Linked DNA regions of Macaca fascicularis. Each later gene encodes a partner of the first gene's protein in a complex. Links are inferred from orthologs where the notes say so. Each region holds a gene or a part of one and is shown in the gene's direction. Other genes may lie near its edges.

Region 1 (3,512 bases):
CCAACGAAAAGATGTGAAACTAGATAAACCTTTAACAAATATGCTTGAGGTGGTTTCACATCCACATCCAGTTGTCCCTAAAATGGAGAAAGAACTGGTGCCAGACCAGGCAGTAATATCAGATAGTACTTTCTCTCTGGCAAACAATCCAGGCAGTGAATCAGTAACCAAGGATGACGCACTTTCTTTTGTCCCCTCCCAGAAAGAAAAGGGAACAGCAACTCCTGAACTACATATGGCTACAGATTGTAGAGATGGCCCAGACGGAGATTCGAATGAGCCTGATACACAGCCACTAGAAGATAGGGCAGCAGACCTGTCCACGTCCTCCACTGCTGCAGAGCTTCAGCGTGGGATGGGGAATACCAGTCTCACAGGACTTGGTGGAGAGCGTGAGGGTCCCGCCCCTCCAGCAATCCCAGAAGCTCTGAATATCAAGGGGGACACTGACTCTTCCCTGCAAAGTGTGGGTAAGGCCACTTTGGCTTTAGATTCAGTTTTGACAGAAGAGGGAAAACTTCTGGTGGTTTCAGAAAGCTCTGCAACTCAGAAACAAGATAAGGATATAGCAGTGACCTGTTCCTCCATTAAGGAAAATGCTCTTTCTTCAGGAATGTTGCAGGAAGAGCAGAGAACACCACCTCCCAGACAGGAGACTCTACAATTTCATGAAAAATCGGTCTCAGTTGATGGTGCCAAGGACAAAGCACTTCAGCTAAGTAATTCACCGGGTGCACCCTCTGTCTGTCTTAAGGCAGAAACTGAACATAACAAGGAAGTGGCCCCACAAGTCTCACTGCTGATTCAAGGTGGGGCTGCCCAGAGCCTGGTGCCACCAGGAGCGAGTCTGGCCACAGACTTAAGGCAGGAAGCCTTGGGTGCAGAGCACAACAGCTCCACTTTGTTGCCATGTCTGTTGCCAGATGGATCTAATGGGTCTGAGGCTCTTAATTGCAGTCAACCTTCTCCTCTGGATGTTGGAGTAAAGAACACCCAATCCCAGGGGAAAACTAGTGCCTGTGAGGTGAATGGAAATGTGACGGTGGATGTTACACAGGTTAATGCTCTACAAGGGATGGCTGTTCCCAGAAGAAAGAATGTATCACACAACACCCAAGATATCCTGATTCCAGACGTCTTGTTGAACCAAGAGAAGAATGTCATCCTGGGTTTGCCAGTAGCTTTACGGGACAAAGCTGTGACTGACCCACAGGGAGTTGGAACCCCAGAGATGGTACCTCTTGATTGGGAGAAAGGGAAGCTGGAGGGAGCAGACCACAGCTGTACCAGGGGCGATGCTGAGGAAGCCCAGATAGACACTGAAGCACATCCTGTCCTACTGCAGCCTGCTGCCAAAGAGCTCCCCACAGACATGGGGCTCTCATCCCATGATGATGAGGCCCCAGCTGGCGCGAGGGAAGTCCTGCAAGCCTTGCCCTCAGGCGGGGAAAGGAGCACTCCCTCTCTACCTTGCATGGTCTCTGCCCAGGCCACACCTCTGCCTAAGGGAGCAGACTTGATAGAGGAGGCTGCCAGCCGTATAGTGGATGCCGTCATCGAACAAGTCAAGGCCGCTGGAGCACTGCTTACTGAGGGGGAGGCCTGTCAAATGTCACTGTCCAGGCCTAAGTTGTTGGGTCCTCTCACTGAAGGGCTAGAGAATGCTTTTACAGAAAAAGTGAGTACTTTCCCACCTGGGGAGAGCCTGCCAATGGGCTGTACTCCTGAGGAAGCCACAGGGAGCCTTGCAGGATGTTTTGCTGAAAGGGAGGAGCCAGAGAAGATTATTTTACCTGTCCAAGGGCCTGAGCCAGCAACAGGTAAGCAAAACATAATACAAAATTAGCAGTCTGAGCAGCAGATTCCCTTAAGAGTCACTGTGGTGTCCTGGTAAAAATATAGGCATCTTTGTTGTTTTGAGGTCTTGCACTCATTGGGTGGGTAGTCAAGTTAATAGTCACCACCATCAGGAGAGGCACGTCATCTCAGGGTTGCACAGATTTTGTTTCCTGTGTTGTAGACTTAACTGCTTGGTTGCTTAAGCTTATAAACACTCTTATCTGTCATTCTGGAGTGGTTGCAACTTTGCAAACCTGGAAAACAATGCCTAGATCACAGGTATTCCAAAATGATGAAGGAATTTAGCAGATGTTTTTATTCACATGGCTTAATCCTTTTCTCTGGTACCATAGAAAACAGTGCCAAAAAGCTGTGTTCTATTTACAAGCCTGAAACTCCCTTCCTCCCCTGTCATCCTAGTCTGTATTCTGAGCAAATTTAGAGTCAGAGTGGTTTCATGAACAGCTATAAGTATTGTTCTAACCTGACATCTCAACACCCAGAATGGTGGTATTAGGTCATTGGTTTTTTTGTGTGCTTTTATTTTATTATTATTTTTTTTGAGCTAGGGGTGTTGTTGACAGGGAACTCCTTCCTTTTCCTGCTTGGGGAACGGACCTCTAGTTCCATTGCCTGTTGCTTTTGGGCAGCAGTCTGGGAATTCAAGACCCTGCACAGTGCAGGGGATAGGATGCAGGATTTCCGCCCAAGCCCAGTCTGCTGAGCTGCTGTCACAGGGCAGACCTTGTGTCTGCTTTATCTTGGTGAAGCAGCTGCACTGAGCAGATTGCTCACACAGCAGCCTGTTCCATCTGTGGGTAATCATGTTCCGAGACAGCAAAGAGAAACCGCTATTGCTCGGTGGAAATAAACTATCTGAATAAAACTTCTTATCCGGGGTTGAGGCTGAAGCTGAAACGGGAGTCGGACACAATCTCGACTCTTGAAGTCTTTAAAGGTCAGTTTGATGCACACTTTTATACCACCACCTGTTACCAGCTGTAGACGGAATACCCATCTCCATGCTTGCCCCTAGGCTTTTGTAGGTAAGAAGTAGCCTGTTTTGTCTTTATTGTTTATTTTTGCTGTTCTTTTCAATTTTTGAAAATCCCTTTACATGTATGTATTAAGAGTGTGGGGGAGGGTTATGGAGAGAAATGAATCAATGGAGCAAAAGAAGTTGCTTTGGAAGAAGCGCAATTTAAATACAGTGGTCATTTTCCCTAGTAAAGGGCTTTTAGCCATTTATAATCTTTTCCCTCCCCAGTTGAGGGATTTAAGGAATCCCAGAATTTTTGATGACTTTAGCTTTTTAGTTTTATTAATGTTTTGGATTGTTAGTGATAAATATTTGTTGACTGTTGTCTCAGAATTTAAATGAGAAGGTCTCTACTTTTTTAAAAGAAAGCCACAACAACAAGTCTATTTTGGGGGCCCTGGCAGGTTGGCATTTCAGAAGAATGGGAGTGGCTGTAAGCTGATGCCTGGCGATGTTCTTTTCATTTGGGTGCTGTGTCCTTGGCCACATGGGCTAGAATTATTTCTCTTTCTGGCTCAGTGGTCAGAATTTAACTCAAGCAAGTGTGAACTCTGTGGGGATTGTGTCTGTAGTATCCTATGAGAAAAAGTAAAAACCAGGGAGAATTTCAGACTTTGATTTTTATTAGCACTTA
Region 2 (4,067 bases), on another chromosome or scaffold:
CTCCCTGTGAGTCCTGGGAACTTGCATCTTAAACTCCCAGGGTGATTTTTCTGCATGTAAGTTTAAGAACTATTAGGAGAGTTTGAATGGAAAGCCTCAGCTTTTTTTTTTTTTTTTTTTTTTTTTTTTGAGACGGAGTCTCCTTCTGACGCCAGGCTGGAGTGCAGTGGCGCGATTTTAGCTCACTGCAACCTCCGCCTCCCGGATTCAAGCAATTCTCCTGCCTCAGTCTCCCGAGAAGCTGGAACTACAGGCTCAAGCCACCATGCCCAGCTAATTTTTGTATTTTTCAGTAGAGACGGGGTTTCACCATGTTGGCCAGGATGGTCTCTATCTCTTGACCTCGTGATCCGACCGCCTCGGCCTCCCAAAGTGCTGGGATAACAGGCGTGAGCCACCGCGCCCAGCCCCTGGAAAGCCTCAGCTTTGATGCAGGGTTAACATTTGCCTTTGGGACATATTTCGTCAGCATCTCGAAGAGTAACCCACATGTAGAGTAACCCATATGTCCTTGAGCAGATGGGAATGCAACAGCCTTCTGGCCAGAACCTGTCTCTCACTTTTTTTTTTTTTTTTTTTTAATTTGAGACGGAGTTTCGCTTCTGTTTCCCAGGCTGGAGTGCAATGGCGCGATCTCGGCTCACCACAACCTCCACCTCCCGGGTTCAAGCGATTCTCCTGCCTCTGCCTCCCGAGTAGCTGGGACTCCAGGTGCGCGCCACCACGCCCGGCTAATTTTGCATTTTTAGTAGAGACGGGGGTTTCGCCATTTTGGTCAGGCTGGTCTCGAACTCCCGACCTCAGGTGATCCGCCCGCTTCGGCCTCCCAAAATGCTGGGATTACAGGCGTGAGCCACCGCGCCCTGCCACCTGTCTCTTTTTCATGCAAGTGTTTTTTGGAATTTGGGGGTTCAGCTGAGCAGGTGCTCCGCTGCTAGTAACTACTCGCAGTTAAAGATCTTTTGACTCTTTCCCCGACACGCTATTTGTCACTGTCGTTTTCCACCACAGAGCCAGGTATTTGCCCTGCCGGCCACGGTGGGGCGCGCGCGGCGTGTGCTGCCCGCTTATCTCTTCCTTCCCTGGTCCGCCTTCGCGCCCTTAAGGAGACAGTTCCTGGGAGTTTCTGCCTTTGGGCTCCAGTTGTTGCTCTCTTCTCGCGAGAACTGCCCCTCTCATCCTCTCCTCTCACGAAGCCCCGCCCGCGAAGAGGTTCCATATTGGGTAAAATCTCGGCTCTCGGAGAGTCCCGGGAGCAGTTCTCGCGAGAGTACTGCGGGAGGCTCCTGTTTGCTGGCTGTGGAACCGCGACCACTGGAGCCTCAGCGGGCGCAGCAGCTGGATCCGGAGTACTGCGACGCAGCTCGGAGTCGGCCTTGTAGGGACGAAGGTGCAGGGAGATCGCGGCAGGCGCAGCCTTGAGCGCCGGAGCGCGTCCCTGCCCTTAGCGGGGCTTGCCCCAGTCGCAGGGGCGCATCCAGCCGCGGCGGCTGACAGCAGCCGCGCGCGCGGGAGTCTGCGGGGTCGCGGCAGCCGCACCTGCGCGGGCGACCAGCGCAAGGTCCCCGCCCGGCTGGGCGGGCAGCAAGGGCCGGGGAGAGGGTGCGGGTGCAGGCGGGGGCCCCATAGGGCCACCTTCTTACCCGGCGACTGCCGCTGGAAAATGTCTCAGGAGAGGCCCACGTTCTACCGGCAGGAGCTGAACAAGACAATCTGGGAGGTGCCCGAGCGTTACCAGAACCTGTCTCCAGTGGGCTCCGGCGCCTATGGCTCTGTGTGGTGAGTGTCGCCGGGCCTGGGGCCGCTGTGGGCAGGGTGGCCCCTCGCGCCCGAGAGCCAGGCCTGCACGACTGCTCTGCGTTGCGTCAAGTGGCAGGAATTTTCCTCGGGGGAGGGCCTTGCTGCCCCTTCGAGCTCTGCCTGTTCTGCACCTCCTGCACCCCTCGCCCTGCACTCACGCGGGTATTGCGGTCCACCGTGTGCAGCGCTCAAGTCCGCTGCGAGAGGTAGGTGGTGGTGCTGGAGCTCGGTTCTGGCTAGCACCCTGCGCCTTCGCCTCTCGGAAGGTTGCTGCTCGGCGGCAGGCACCGGGGGAAGGGCTGCTTCCTTGGGGGTCTCCCTCCGGACCTGGAGCAGAAGGACCCTCTCCCGCGATGCGCCCACGCTGTGGCGCCGGACCCTGTCCTCTGAGCAGACAAGCTTGGGGAGCTGCCGGGAGAAGCAGAAGGGCAGAGCGCAACCCGAAGACTGCGGTCATCTAAACAAAACTGACCAGGAAGGGAGCTCTCTCCGGGCCTTTTTTTTTTTTTTTTTCCCCAAACCTCTGTCGAAATCCCATCTCGAGAAGTGTTCTTTTTGAATTCGCACTTGAATTAGCAGCGATCCATAGAGCTTAAAATACCGACTTTATCTCGGTGAACACTGTGCCAGCTTGAGTGGTGTGTTTCCGATTCGGTTGAAAGCGTATTTCCTTTCTGTGGAGGGGCGGCGGTGGTAGTGCCTGCAAGAACGCTGCAGCTTGAGAAACTGGCAGTCTCACTGATTAGTCACATACCACTGCTCATTTAAGTATTGTTCGACAAAACAGTTTTTTCATTTGGAGCAAGAAAGATTCAGATCTGTAAGGCGCCCTCAAGATCAAAAAATTATTAACAGTGCTAGGAGGTATTGTAAGTATTTTTTGAGATAATTCCTGCGAATACTGTGTTTTAAAAGTCCCTTTCAGAGTTTGCAGGGATTTATCTAGTTATCTGCATTTATGGCCTGAGGTACACGATGGTTTTCGTAAGGATATGGAACCACATAGAAAAGGAAGGGAAGAGATACTTTTTAGCTTTAATTTACACCGTGAGTGTGTTTTAAATTAAGTCGATACCATGTAATTTCCAGACCTGAAATATTTCACTAACTGCTCTCTAATTTTCAAGGTTTTATACCCTGTATTTTAGATTTTCTATAATTTAAAAGCTACGGATCTGAAACTAAATATCAGATTTAACTGTTAGCTTTTTCTGTGTTTTAGTAATTCGTATTGTATGCGTCATTTGAAAAGGGGCCTGTAAAATAGTTTTTTGTTTTGGAACAAATTCCAGGCTTTTGGATGTGTTAATCTTTAAATATGATTTCTGTGTTTCCCAAAGTCACATCATGAATTTCCTGTTTGGTAGAATCTTCTGGGTAATTGAGATTGTGCAATTGTGTCCAGTAACAGATCATATTGCATTTTCTAGTTCAAGCTGCTTAAGTTATGTTGCAGATGGCACCGTGCGTGACATCTTTCTCCCATTTTTACAGCATGGCAGTTTACATTTTAAAGGAATTTGCAGGATTTTACATTCAGAGTGTGTGTGTGTATAGTTGATTTGCAGCATTTTACATTCGATATATACATGTTAATATATGTATATCCATTCAGTATATACATATTATGTATATCTAGTTGATTTGCTAATTTTCAAAGATGTATTTGGATCATTGTTCTTTTAATATTTTATAGCTCATTAATATACTTCCATTTTTTCATTCTTGAATTGACACATTCATTTCTGTAGTATCACGTTTTTGTTTTCAATGCTATTTAAATTTTAATGGAGTGATAACAGCAGAATAACTCATCTATAGAGGGTTTGGGTGAACTCCAGTTGAATTCCTCGCAAAGGTTCAGTACTGTTGGTGACTAGCTCTGCACTGGAACAGGAGATCCAGATTTACAGTGAAGTACCATTAAAATTAACTCCACATTTCTTTAGTGGTATATTTTTCTGTGGTATAAAAGCCAGCAGAGGCCGGGCGCGGTGGCTCAAGCCTGTAATCCCAGCACTTTGGGAGGCTGAGACGGGCGGATCACGAGGTCAGGAGATCGAGAAAGTCCTGGTTAACACGGTGAAACCCCGTCTCTACTAAAAAATACGAAAAAGTAGCCGGGCGAGGTGGCGGGCGCCTGTAGTCCCAGCTAACCGGGAGGCTGAGGCAGGAGAATGGCGTAAACCCGGGAGGCGGAGCTTGCAGCGAGCCAAGATGGCGCCACTGCACTCCAGCCTTGGCGACAGAGCGAGACTCCGTCTCAA
Region 3 (3,512 bases), on another chromosome or scaffold:
GGCACATGCCACCACACTTGGCTAATTTTTTGTATTTTTAGTGGTGATGGAGTTTCACCACGTTGTCCAGGCTACTCTGGAACTCCTGACCTCAGGGGATCCGCCTGCCTTGGCCTCCCAAAGTGCTGGAATTACAGGCGTGAGCCACCAGGCTCGGCCATATTTTGCTATTTTCTACATGGATTACATGTTGCAATGGTAATGTTTGGACTATTGTGGGTTAAATAGAATATATGATTAAAGTGAATTCATCTATTTCTTTTAACTTTAAAACATATGTCTGTTAGAGGATTTGAAATTCCACATGCGGCTTGCATTTGTGCCCTGCATTTTATTTCTGTTGGACGGTGCTCTTTGGGACGTGCTTTGAAGGTGGAGTCAACAGGATTTGACAGATTACAGAGGAGAGACTTCGAGGGTGATTCCACGACTTCGGGGCTGAGCACCTGGAAGAATGGGGTTAATATTAGCCAAGATGAGGAAGGCTGTTGGTTTGGCAGGTGCGTGGGCAGGTTAGGAGTTTAGTTTTGAATATGTTGGAGGTGTTTATGAAACTTTTAAGTGGAAATGGAAACTAGGCAGTTGGATGCGTAAGTCCAGGGTTCAGGGGGACAGTTCAGGCTGGAGATGAAGATGTGGGAGTCTGAGCAGAGATTGTATTCAAATATTCAATCCATGAGACTTGATGAAATCACTTCTCTTCCAAATGGTGTACAGCCTACAGAATCATTTTCCCTATCTTTGTAGGTTTATGTCTTCATGTTGTTTCATTTATTTTTCAGTTATTCACTGTTTCAGTGAGTTTTGGGTAGGAGCCAGATTGGATGCGTGTGTTCAATTCACCATCCAACACTATTAACGACTTGAAACTTCTGTGGTTGTTCAGTTGCTTTTCTGACCTTTTATTCTGGACAGAAGAGAGATGCTTATGAAGTTGTAGTAATCAGTAAGCCTTCCCACACTGCTCCATCAGCCTTCCTGGAGGAACAATGTCTTCTGTCTTTCCCGTAGGCAAGAAGGCTGCTCGATCTTGCCACAGTGAAAGCGAATGGATTGGCCGCCTTCCTTCTACAACATGTTCAGGAATTACCAGTCCCGTTGGCCCTGCCTTTGGAAGGTAGGTATATGTTCTCAGTTAATCAGAAAGGGAAGGGCAGTCAGTGCAGATCCATGGTTAAGAGTAGAACACACCTCGGTTAGCGTCCCATATGCTGGCAGTGTAGCCTCCATGTGACTCAGTTTCCTTGTTTTAAGGCTACCACCACCCCCTATCTCATTGCAATTTTAGGAGGATTAAAAGGACAAAAGCGTGTGATGTTAGCTATTAGCTTTCATTATCTCCCACACAGTACACTGACAATTGGAGCTACCATATGCTGAAGGCTAACTAAAGGTGTTACTTACCATCCAAACTCTCGTTATCTGTACCAAAAAGATACGGACACGCGTTTTGAGTTAGGGCTGGTACCTCTTGATCTCTGAAATTTAGCAGCTCACAATCGGAAACTCAAGAACCAAGTGGATCTAGAGACTCTGGTATCCCTCAGTGCCCAGGGTCACCACCCAAACTCAGGAACAGGAGGAGCTTGGACAGCACCTCTTGAACATACCAGGCATCCTGCCGGGTGCTTTATGGACAATGTCTACCCTTTGCAACAACCCTGAGAAGTAGGTGGTGGTTTTTTCACCTTATAGATGTGGAAACTGGGCAGGGAGGTTAAGTGACAAGGGAGGGGGAGATGGGTCTGATTGTAAATTGTCCCCACCTACACTTTCTCTTTTCTTGGGAGAAGAAATGTCAGTTGTAAAGAGAGGGTGCAAAAGTCTGGCACTCTTTAGGGCTTGTTCCTATACCACTGTAGGGAAAGCTCATTGGCACTGAAGCTCCCTGAGCTGTGCGTGGTGCTGGCAGTTGGGTCTATCACCCTGGGCCCTGCCCTGTGGGCAGCAAGCAAACCTGTGGGAGGGGTGGCTGTAAGTCTGTGCCTGGCACTCGCGAGTGCACTGTCTCGTCAAAGAACGGGATCTAAACATCAGTGCACCACAGGGGGGTTGAGCAGCATGGAGCGCGGGGCCTGGTTTGGCCCTTGGTTGAGGTTTGCCGTTGATATCATCAAGCACAGCTGGTCACTGTAAGACCAGGCCAGGGTGCAGGATTCCCCACACTTCTAAAGGTGTGTTTATTTCTCTATAAAATGACATTTTCTTTTTTTCCGGAGAATTTTAGTATCATTGGTGATGGCTGGAAAGCCTGCATTGGAAATCAGGTCGGAAGAGGAAGATATATATCTGATATGTATTGGAGAGGAAGATATTTACCTTATGGTCTAAGTTCAGGGATCCTGGTGTATTCAGAGGGCAGAAAGCTCAGCAATAATCATCAACTCTGGGAACAACAGAGGTGACGTAAACACAGGGCGTCCCCTTTGTGTGACTGCAGATAGTCGTCAGTGAGCTCAGAGCTCTCTGAAAATTACTTGTTAGTTTTTGGGTTGAAAATAAGTGGGCCAGTGTTTGGTTGGGGGCAGTGAGGCTGTGATGGCGGGGGACCGTGCTGAGTTCCTACCAGCCGGGGACTCTAAACCAGCACTTCCCCGTTTCCTGAAAGGGGAACTAAACCCTGACACAGGAAATGGCTCGCTCGCATTGCTTTCAGGATGAGAAAGGAAGAGCAGTAGCCTTCCAAACACACCCTGTGCATGAAAACTCTCCCTGCATGGGGTGCATGGGGAGGATGAGGAAGTGGAGGCAGGATCACAGACTCTCATTCTAGTGCTCAGCTGGGGCACCCTGGTGACCCCGAGGCCTTCTATTGCTAGGCCCACCCAGATCAATCAGGCTCATCTCCCCATCTCGAAGTTTAACTTTATCACATCTGCAGAGTTCCTTTTGCCACATAAGGTAACATATTCACAGGTTCTGAGGATCGGGACACGGACATCTTCGAGGGTCTATTGTTGTGCCTACTATAGCCATGAATAATAATGATAATAAGCACCATTTTTTGAGAGTTTGCCATGTCAGATATTCTTTTAAACTCTATTTTATCTCACTGCCTCCTGAAACAATCCTTCCAGGTGTATATTGTCCCCATTTTTACAGATGAGAGAACTGAGGCCCAGAAAGGCTAAATGGCTTGCCCAAGTGTGTGGTGGACGCAGGTTTTCACGCTCCGGTGTGTCAGACTTCAGAGACTGGGCTCCTGAGCCCTGAAGCCCTTTGTTCCCCTTAGAAAAAGTTAACTGAGAGTGAATGGTGAAGGGATTTATCCAAAGCCACCTGGCCATTATGGCAGGACAGATATCAGAATACAGGTCTTCTGATCCCAGCCTAGAGCCCCTTCCCATCATCTACAACTCCTCCTGGTGTGAGTAATGATAACGGCAGTCACTGATGTCTTTGGACTTACTTTGTGTTGAGCACTGTGCTGAGCACTTGACATACGTCATCTTAGTTGATCCGTGTAAAAAGTCTGTAAGGTAGAGATCAACATTTCTCCCACCTTACAGAGG
Region 4 (4,195 bases), on another chromosome or scaffold:
TGCAATCTTGTCTAACTGCAACCTCCGCCTACTGGGTTCATGCCATTCTCCTGCCTCAGCCTCCCAAGTAGCTGGGATTACAGGCACACGCCACCACACTCAGCTAATTTTATATTTTTTAGTAGAGACGGGTTTCACCATATTGGCCAGGCTGGTCTCGAACTCCTGACCTCCAGTGATCCACCCACCACCACCTTGGCCTCCTAAAGGGCTGGGATTATAGGGGTGAGCCACTGCACCCAGACATTTTTTTTTCTTTCTTTTTTTTAGACAAGGTCTCGCTCTGTCACCCAGGCTGGAGTGCAGGGGCATCATGATTGCTCCCCACAGTGATGCATTCTCGGCCTCTTGAGCTCAAGCGATCCTCCTGCCTCAGCCTCCTGGTAGCTGGGACTACAGGCATGCGCTACCATGCCTGGCTGGATGGATTCTAGATCAGAATATTCTCCTCCTTCTCTCTTTCTGTTGTTAATATCCCCCAAAGAGTTGCTCAGATGAAAAAATAAGAGAGAAAACATCGCGCCCTGGTTTCCGGGACGACTGAAACCACGCAGAGCCACGCGTAGCTAAGGTACCCACAGCCCACGGCGCTTCCTCGGGTCCCAAAGGGCGCCAATGTGCAGACACCGCCGCCAGGGAGCGCTCCCCGCCGGAGCCCCGGAGACCAAGGTTTGGCTCCCTCGCCTGGTTTCCGAAGGAGTGAGGGTCCGACGGCAGCCGTAAACAAAGCTGCACGCTCTGCAGACCCCGGAGATCCCCTAGAAATTCCTCAGAGGCCTCCACTCTCCGCATGGGCACGAGTCTGCATTTATGGAGCGCCATCTGCATGCAGCAGCCCCGAAAAAGAAGGCGGTGCCCATTTTATTGTGTGGAAAACTGAGACTCAGAGGCCACAGGGGTTCCCAGGATGAACAGCGAGTTGGGATTCAAACCTCTTTTAATAACAATAACGATAATAGAGGTCAGGCGCAGTGGCTCAAGCCTGTGTAATCCCAGCACTTTAGGAGACCGAGGCGGGCGGATCACCTGATCAGGAGTTTGAGACCAGCCTGGCCAACATGATGAAACCTCATCTCTACTAAAAATATAAAAATTAGCCGGGCATGATGGCGGGCATCTGTAATCCTAGCTACTCAGGAGGCTGAGGCAGAAGAATCGCTTGAACCCGGGGGGCAGAGGTTGCAGTGAGCCGAGATCGCACCACTGCACTCCAGGATGGGCAATAGAGCGAAACTCCGTCCAAAAACAGCAAAACAACAAACAATTACGATAACATTAAAAGTGACAGCAGCTAACACTTATGGAGCGTCTAGAGTGTTCTCAGCTCTTGGCCTGCACTGTCTCATTGAATTTTACCAACACCTAGGAGGTGAGCGCATCATTCCCATTTCACAGATGAGGTGCCTGGAAGGATTTGGCTTCCCCAAGGCGTAAAGCGCTGGCATTTGAATGCAGATCTGCCCAGAGCTTGTCTCCAGGTAACGGGGAAACTTCCATGCCCTTGAATAGGGGACCACAGATGCAGGCGTCCCGAGCTTGCAAATGCACAGGGATGGGGTGGGGTGGGGGGGTTATTTTTTTTTTTTCAGGGGTTCTGGGAGGCCCAAAGGCCTCCGCCGCTCTCGGCTTGAACGCGGGGAACCGTTCTCCTCGGGTTCCCGCGCGCTCCAATGGGGGACCTCTCGGCAGCGTGCGGTCGTCGCAGGACCCGGAAAGAGGAAAGGTGGGGAGCCGATCGGGGTGCTCCGAGCTCGGGAGACTGAGGGGGCGGGCGGGCGGGACCCCGCAGCCCCGGGGGCCTCTGGGAGCCCCTCCCCCTCGGCCCCGCCCCCTCCCCGGGCGCCGACCTCCGGGGTCACGTGACCGGGCCCGGCGGCCGCTGGGGCTGGAGGGCGCGGCGCGGGGACGCGGCGGCCTGGGCAGGCGAGGCGGGAGCCTAGCAGGCCGGAGCGGGCCGCGGGCCGGGGAGGGTCGCGCCGCGCCCGCCCCCTCCCCGCCACGCCCGGGGCGCACGCGCGCTCCTCTGGCCGCCCCTCCCTCCGCGCGGGGACCCCTGGCGGGCGGCAGGAGGACATGGCCAGCGACGCCTTGCAGGTAGGCGCACCTGCGTCTGGAGTCCCGGGGCGACCGGACGGCTCCAGGGGACCCCGCCCTCGCGCTCCCGGGGGAGCCCCCCAGCCCCCCGAACGGGACTCGGGTGGCGATGGCTAGGGCGGGGACCTCCGGAGCGCCCGGCGCCCCCTCCCTGGGCCGGGACTGTGGAGCCAGCGAGGCCCCCTTCTCGGCAGGTGGCGATGTGGACGGGGCTGGTTTGGGGGCAATCTCGGAGGCACCCCCCGCTGCACCCCCAAACTCGGCCTCTCCCAGAGAACTAGAAGGGGCGCGGCGGAGGCTCTACTTCGGGTGTCTGTGGCTGGCTGGGAGTCCCGGTGCCTCTCGTCCGCCCCCAAACTCATCCCCCTCCCCAGGGTTGGGTGCCCGGCAGGTGCCGCTCCACCTGGGGCAGGTGCCTGGCGCAGTGCCGTGGGAGGGGAGGAGGCCGCCGGGCCCGGCCCGTGCCCTTCCCCCGCATAACAAAGCTCCAGCCACCCCCGCCTCTAGACAGCTTTATAGTGTTCCAGACGCCACCCAGATTGGCACCTGTTGGCGGAAGTACCCGAGTCACTGCATTAGGTCGGGGGACTGGGGACCCCCGCTCCTACTCTTGGACTGTCAGGTGGAACCTTCTCCCGGGTGGGGAGTGCCTCAGTCAACAGGCCAGGGATGCTCCCATATATAGAATCCTACTTTTTTGCATGGTGGCTGGGCAGGGCTGGGTCACCCCCACCCTCCTAACACACACACGTGACTGGCACCAGCCTTCTGCCCAGCCAGATTCCCCCGTGCCACCTGGTTGGTATCACTGACCTGGACTCATCTTCCCCGTCTGTGACAAGCAGGGCCAGCGTGACTGCCAACCTTCTTTGGTTCAAGTGACCCAAATCTGAGAAATGTCTGTGCCTCGGTGCCCCCATTTGCACCTCACCATCCAGTTCATCGTCCTGTGGCTGTTGTGTAACTGGGTTCTCGTCTCCTTCTGCACCTGCCCCCTGCCCCTCTGTGTCTCCCCCGTAACCCCCGGTCCCTCCCACCTCCCCAGTCCTGCTGATGGCCTGCCGGCCTTGCCGAGGAGCTGGGCGTATCTGGTGTTGCCGATCACACAAGGTCAGACCTCAGGGCCGGGATGGGCCGGGGTCCCTGCCTCCACCCCCGGCCCAGGGAGGGCTGTGTAGGAATCCCCGGGCGCATGCATGCGCTTGGCGCGTCCCACACATGACCCAGACAGGCTGTGATTCCTGCAGTGAGGCTGGACCCACGCCCTGGTCCCCCCTTCCCATCTCCTCCTTAGTCTCTTCCCTCCTCCTGGTCATCCCTCTCTCATGGTTGCTTGGGCCTGCCGCCCTGTCCCTCTATCTGTCCCAACGTGTGCCTGTCTGTTCTGTGTCCTGCAAACGGATGTCCTGTCCAGATTCCGGAAACGCCCAAGGCATTGAAATCTCCGGATGTGGGGGTCTAGGTCCCTGGCTGCTCTGGCAAGATGGGGATTCTGGGAGGCAGGTCCTCTGGGTCTGAGGTCTCCGCTCCATGGTGGGCAGCAGAGGAGCAGGGGTTCTCCATAGGCCAGGCCAGGCCCCTGAGTCCTGGGTTTGCCTTGGTGGCCCTCAGGTGACCTGTATGCCCTGGGAAGAAGTGAGTCACTCAGGGGAGGAGAACCCAGGAGCCCAGCCTCCCTCCCTCTCTGCATTACAGACCTCAGCTGCTGGAGGTGGGGCCGAGGGAGGCCACCTTTCCTCTCTGCCTGGACTTCCCCAGTTGAGCTGACCCCGCTCTTGGCTGTGTCCTCCCTCTGCCTGCTGGGGATGGGGTGGGGCCTGACTGAGTGAGGGTGGTATTTGGTGAGCCTGGGCTTAAATTCCGACGCTGACACTTCCTTGCTGTGTGTCCTGGGCCCAGTGCCTTCGCCTCTCTGAGCCTCGGTTCTGACCTAGGAAAAATGGGACTAAGAGGGTGTTCATGGGAGAGAGAGACCGAGACCTGGCCAGCACTTGGCAGGCGGGGCTGCTGTGAAGTCATTACTGGTAAGCGTCCTGGTCAGCAGCTCAGGGTGTGAATCTGTGTCCTTACTGATTGATTTACTTGTTTATATTTATTTATT
Region 5 (4,245 bases), on another chromosome or scaffold:
AGTGGAGGAATTGGTATTGGAACTCACACCTGTCTGAGCCCCAGACTCATGATTTTCCATCCCACTGCCTGTGAACAGGAGACGCAGGAAGAGAATGGTGACGGCTGCAAGGCTTCCCTCCTATCTCATGTGGCCCTCCCCGCTCTGTGTGCATGGGGCCCTGCATCACCCCCACTTTACACCTGGGCAAGCAGAGGTCAGGCCCGGCCTCAAGCGTTTCTAGCAGGTGGTGGAATCTGCTTCCCTCACGTGAGGTCCCCGACAGGGTACACACTCATGTCTGCCTGGAGGCCAGGGGCTGACCCCTTGACCTTTGCCTGGTACCTTCTGCCTTCACTAGCCCTGACTTTACATCCAGAGTCATCTGATCCCAGCGCCAGATTGGTCAGCGGTTCCTGAAATCCCCCAAGGTTCCGTGTGGGAGCAAAGAGAGGACTGGTCCATCCAGCCATTATACAGATGGGCAGACTGAGATCTTAGGAGGAGAGGAGAGAACCAAGGTCCAGGAGAGAGCCAGGATGGGGCCTCCGGGCTCGTGGGATAAAATGCACCGCATGCTGCCTCACTCCCTCTGAGACAGTTTCCCCCGGTGTAGAACAGGGGCAGCAACAACCAGCCACGACAACTCCTCGTGCTGCCTCGTCACCGGGCATCGCTGAGCTCACCACCAACCCCGCGCCCTGGCCGGGCGCCTGGAGCGCGGGCGCGGGCGGACGTTTGCTGGCGCCGGGCCCTCAGTGCGTGTCAGCGGGCAGCGCCGTCAGACGGCTGTCACCGCCGCCCGCTCACAGATGCGTAGACTGAGGCTCAGGTGTCACGACCTGACCAAGGCTAGTTCCGCTACAAAGTTGCCGACTCGCATCTGAACCCGGGTCAAATTTACAGAAAAGGAAACTGAAGCCCAGAGACACCAGGGAGCTTGCTGGGGTGAGGCAGCTGCAGGTTCAGAGAGCCAGGAGGCAGCCCAGCAGCGCACTTTTAACCCCCGCCCGCCTCGCCAGGCCCAGCCGTGCCACCTTTAGGGATCTCGGGTTTTTTCCAGACGACGCACCCGGGAGAACGCGCCCACTCATCGCACCCGCCGGGGCTGCGCGTCTGGGGGTGCTGGGCGGAGCCTGGCGCTTGCAAGGAGCAGCGGGCTCAGTGGGTCCCGGGAGTGGGTGGGGCTTGCGTGTTGACGGGCAGCGCGAGGGGCGCGGCTTTAGTCCAGGTGGGCGGAGCCTGACCGGACTTGGGTTTTTCGGGCGGCTGGCAGACTTGACAGAGAGCGGGAGGGGCCCGGATCCTGGGCCCACGGAGGGTGGGGCGTGTAATTGACAGGCAGGGACAGACCGGCGTCTGATAGGCAGGGGACGGGCCTTGGAAACGAAAGGGCCAATCGGACACGCAGGGGCGGGGCCTGAGTCAGCGCCGTTCGGCCGGGGTCCCCCCGGCGCTGCCCAGTCTGGCTCCGGCGCCGCCCGTCGCGGACTCGTCCCTGCAGTAGTCGCCGCCGCCGCCTCTGCTCCTCCGCCTGGCCCGGGCCGTCTGCCCGCAGCCATGAGCGTGCTCGGCCCCGGTGGAGCCCGCAGTCCTCTAGATTAGTCCCCACCGCCGTCCAGGACCAGCTTGCAGCATGGAGTCGCCCGCCTCAAGCCAGCCCGCCAGCATGCCCCAGTCCAAAGGTAGGCGATCCCGGCCGGAACCTCGGCCTGACCCCGCGCCCAATCTGGGGCCGGGCTGCAAACCCCGACCGAATTTCTTTGGTCCCACCCCATCCTGTTCTCGACCTGGCAGCGGCGTCCGGTCCCGGAACCCCTTCCTGTTCGGGGCCCCGGGACCGGCCGCAGCCTGGGTCCTCACCTGGACCCCCAGGTTAGGCCTTGGGACTGCATTCAGGCCCGAGATCACCCAGGCTGGACCCAGACTAGGACTTTGTTCTGCTCACCCCATCCAAGTCAGGAGCCTCACTCTGACCTCATTTGGGCCTTATGGCTGTAGCCTGGACAGGAACTCTCTCAGTCTTCTCCCTCAGAGGGACCCAGGTGAGATTCACACTGGCCTCCATCTGCGTCCTTGGGCAGCACCCACTCCCATTTCCAACTTGGGGTCCCAGGGCTGTATCCAGGCTGGGATTTAACTTAAGTCTCCATCTGGGCCCCAGAGTGCTTCTGTTGTTTCGGACCTCACTGTACCCGCTATGCGGGTGCTCTGGCTACACCCCAGCTCGGAACTCCCCGTCCTTCTCTCCTCCAGCTCTTCTTATCCTTATAGGCCCTATGTTGCCCCTTCCCTGGCTGGCCTGCACCCTGTCCTGCAGCCCTGTGCTCCCAGGAACCTCCCTTGTCCTCCCACCCCTCCCTAAGGTACAGCCCCCTCTCTACTGGCTTCTCTCTGTCTTGAGTTGCAAGCTTCTCCCTGCACTTGGGGTTCTCACCCCATCTTATTCCTCTCCTGGCTGCCTGGGATCTGGGCCAACCGCCAGGCCAGGGTGCTGGCTGTGCAAGGGATTTGCTCTTCTCCAAGTAGCTGGCCTTCCTGGAAATTTTTGTGAGGTGGCAGCAGCAGCAGGATTTGTCATGCGGAGGGGGAAGGATGAGACTCGGAGGGCAAAAGGGGAATTTTTTTTTCAGGAAGAGGAAAGGATGTTTTTGGTGCGTCGGAGTTTCAGTAGGCTGGGTTGTGTGAGAGATTTCCAAACCGGACGTAGCCGTAATGAATGGGCTGCCTCCTGCCTAGCTGAACCTGCAGCTGCTTCACCCCAGCAAGCTCCCTGGTGTCTCTGGGCCTCAGTTTCCTTTTCTGTAAATTGGAAGTAATCACACCTGCTTCTGTGGACGCGGGAGTGTGGCGTGGGGTGGTGAATACAAAAGAGCTCTGAGGTGTTCACTCAGCATAGCGCCTGGCGGAGAGCCGGTGCTCACCAGGGGACACTGGCTGCACACATCTCGCTATTGTTTCCATTCTTCTTGCTGGAAAGGCCTCCACTGCTGGAACTGCAGCCGCAGAGTGAGCAGGAGGAAGCATCTAGCAGCGGGCACCTAGTGGGCCCCTCATCGGGGATCAGCCGCTCTTCTGCTCTGGAGGGCGCAGGCCAGTGGGAGCCCTGTGGGGGCTTGGGGAGGGCACGGGCTCTTCCTGGCCCCTGCTGCTGGCTGCTGTGGTGGCTGGAGCCGGGTGGGCAGGATAATTATGCCTTACATAAGTGGGAGGCCGGATCCCTGACCATTGCCCAACCACTGTGAGTAACTCAGGAGGCACTTGAGGGGGGAGGTGTCTGGGGAGGGACTTGCACTGCCCAGACCTCGTGGAGCTTGGGAACCAGGAAATCAGACACTTCTCCACTCTGGAGAGCCTGGGGAAGGGTAGGAAGCCCTGTTTGTTTTGGAGGCTTTTTAGCTCTCCAGGCAGAGAATGCCTGATCAAAATAAAAGTTCCAGTTGCAGAGTTGTGAAGGGAGAGGGGTCATAGATGTGGTGAGAACGCTGTGAGAGGGCCAAGATGAACTTCTAGATAGGGACCCAGGTCGCAGATGAAATTGAGGGAGCTGGATGGAGGGTCAGGGACCTCCCTCAGGCCCAGCGACCCTGTAGTCTCTTTGGGATCTGGGGAAGGATGTGGTGACAGAGCCGCAATGCCCTTCACCAAAAACGCTATGAGCTTCTTCTTTTTTTCCATGTGCCATGCATTTTCTCATTTATTCCTCATAGCCCCATTTATAGACAAGGAAACTGAGGCGTTAAGTGCCTTGCCTGAGGCCACGCAGCTGTGACAGGCGGAGCTAGGGTTCCCCCTAGGACTGCATCCCCACAGTGGCCTTCTCCGTGCTCCCTTATGTGCCCCTCCCATGCTGGATGCCTGAGCTGAGCTGGTGGGGTGCCCCCACCCCTGGCCTTGCTCAGAGCATGTGCAGTGGGCCTGTCCTCATGGCCATGTCAGACCTAGAGGACAGACTGAGGCAGAGGTGCTGCTGCTCTTGTGCACAGTGCTTTACACTGGGCCTGTTGCATACTCGCTGCAAAATCCCACTCATTTGACAGATGCAGAACTGAGCTTGGATGGAGTAGCCGAACTGCTCCCACAGGTGGAGATCCTCACCCCGTGCCTGCCCCATCCTGGGCACTGGGCCTCCCAGCACTGAGCCCTTCTCCACCTTCTCAAAGGAATTTGAACAAAGCAGGGAGTGGCTGGCGCTTGACCTTACTGGAGCTTTACCTTTGAGCTTCCTGCCTTGCAGCAGGTACCCTGCCCTATCCTTCCTGCCAT

What was found.
Region 2: AKAP13 (region 1) and MAPK14 share a complex: the UniProt entries of both Homo sapiens proteins name them as parts of the signaling complex. The link is inferred for Macaca fascicularis from reciprocal best matches to the Homo sapiens genes AKAP13 and MAPK14.
Region 3: AKAP13 (region 1) and NOD2 share a complex: the UniProt entries of both Homo sapiens proteins name them as parts of the signaling complex. The link is inferred for Macaca fascicularis from reciprocal best matches to the Homo sapiens genes AKAP13 and NOD2.
Region 4: AKAP13 (region 1) and PKN1 share a complex: the UniProt entries of both Homo sapiens proteins name them as parts of the signaling complex. The link is inferred for Macaca fascicularis from reciprocal best matches to the Homo sapiens genes AKAP13 and PKN1.
Region 5: AKAP13 (region 1) and MAP2K3 share a complex: the UniProt entries of both Homo sapiens proteins name them as parts of the signaling complex. The link is inferred for Macaca fascicularis from reciprocal best matches to the Homo sapiens genes AKAP13 and MAP2K3.

What each region holds. Positions count from the first base shown.
Region 1 is NC_088381.1:70,017,361-70,020,872, forward strand, and holds part of AKAP13 (A-kinase anchor protein 13), read left to right. Parts: coding exon 1-1,820; intron 1,821-3,512. UniProt on the Homo sapiens protein: Scaffold protein that plays an important role in assembling signaling complexes downstream of several types of G protein-coupled receptors.
Region 2 is NC_088378.1:135,643,551-135,647,617, reverse strand, and holds the start of MAPK14 (mitogen-activated protein kinase 14), read left to right. Parts: upstream 1-1,266; 5' UTR 1,267-1,663; coding exon 1,664-1,779; intron 1,780-1,895; exon of another isoform or gene 1,896-2,006; intron 2,007-4,067. UniProt on the Homo sapiens protein: Serine/threonine kinase which acts as an essential component of the MAP kinase signal transduction pathway.
Region 3 is NC_088394.1:46,666,528-46,670,039, forward strand, and holds part of NOD2 (nucleotide-binding oligomerization domain-containing protein 2), read left to right. Parts: intron 1-1,011; coding exon 1,012-1,117; intron 1,118-3,512. UniProt on the Homo sapiens protein: Pattern recognition receptor (PRR) that detects bacterial peptidoglycan fragments and other danger signals and plays an important role in gastrointestinal immunity.
Region 4 is NC_088393.1:14,864,328-14,868,522, forward strand, and holds the start of PKN1 (serine/threonine-protein kinase N1), read left to right. Parts: upstream 1-1,393; 5' UTR 1,394-1,495; coding exon 1,496-1,723; intron 1,724-1,874; exon of another isoform or gene 1,875-2,073; coding exon of another isoform or gene 2,074-2,094; intron 2,095-2,288; exon of another isoform or gene 2,289-4,118; intron 4,119-4,195. UniProt on the Homo sapiens protein: PKC-related serine/threonine-protein kinase involved in various processes such as regulation of the intermediate filaments of the actin cytoskeleton, cell migration, tumor cell invasion and transcription regulation.
Region 5 is NC_088390.1:20,712,128-20,716,372, forward strand, and holds the start of MAP2K3 (dual specificity mitogen-activated protein kinase kinase 3), read left to right. Parts: upstream 1-1,441; 5' UTR 1,442-1,615; coding exon 1,616-1,664; intron 1,665-1,797; exon of another isoform or gene 1,798-2,024; intron 2,025-4,245. UniProt on the Homo sapiens protein: Dual specificity kinase. Is activated by cytokines and environmental stress in vivo. Catalyzes the concomitant phosphorylation of a threonine and a tyrosine residue in the MAP kinase p38.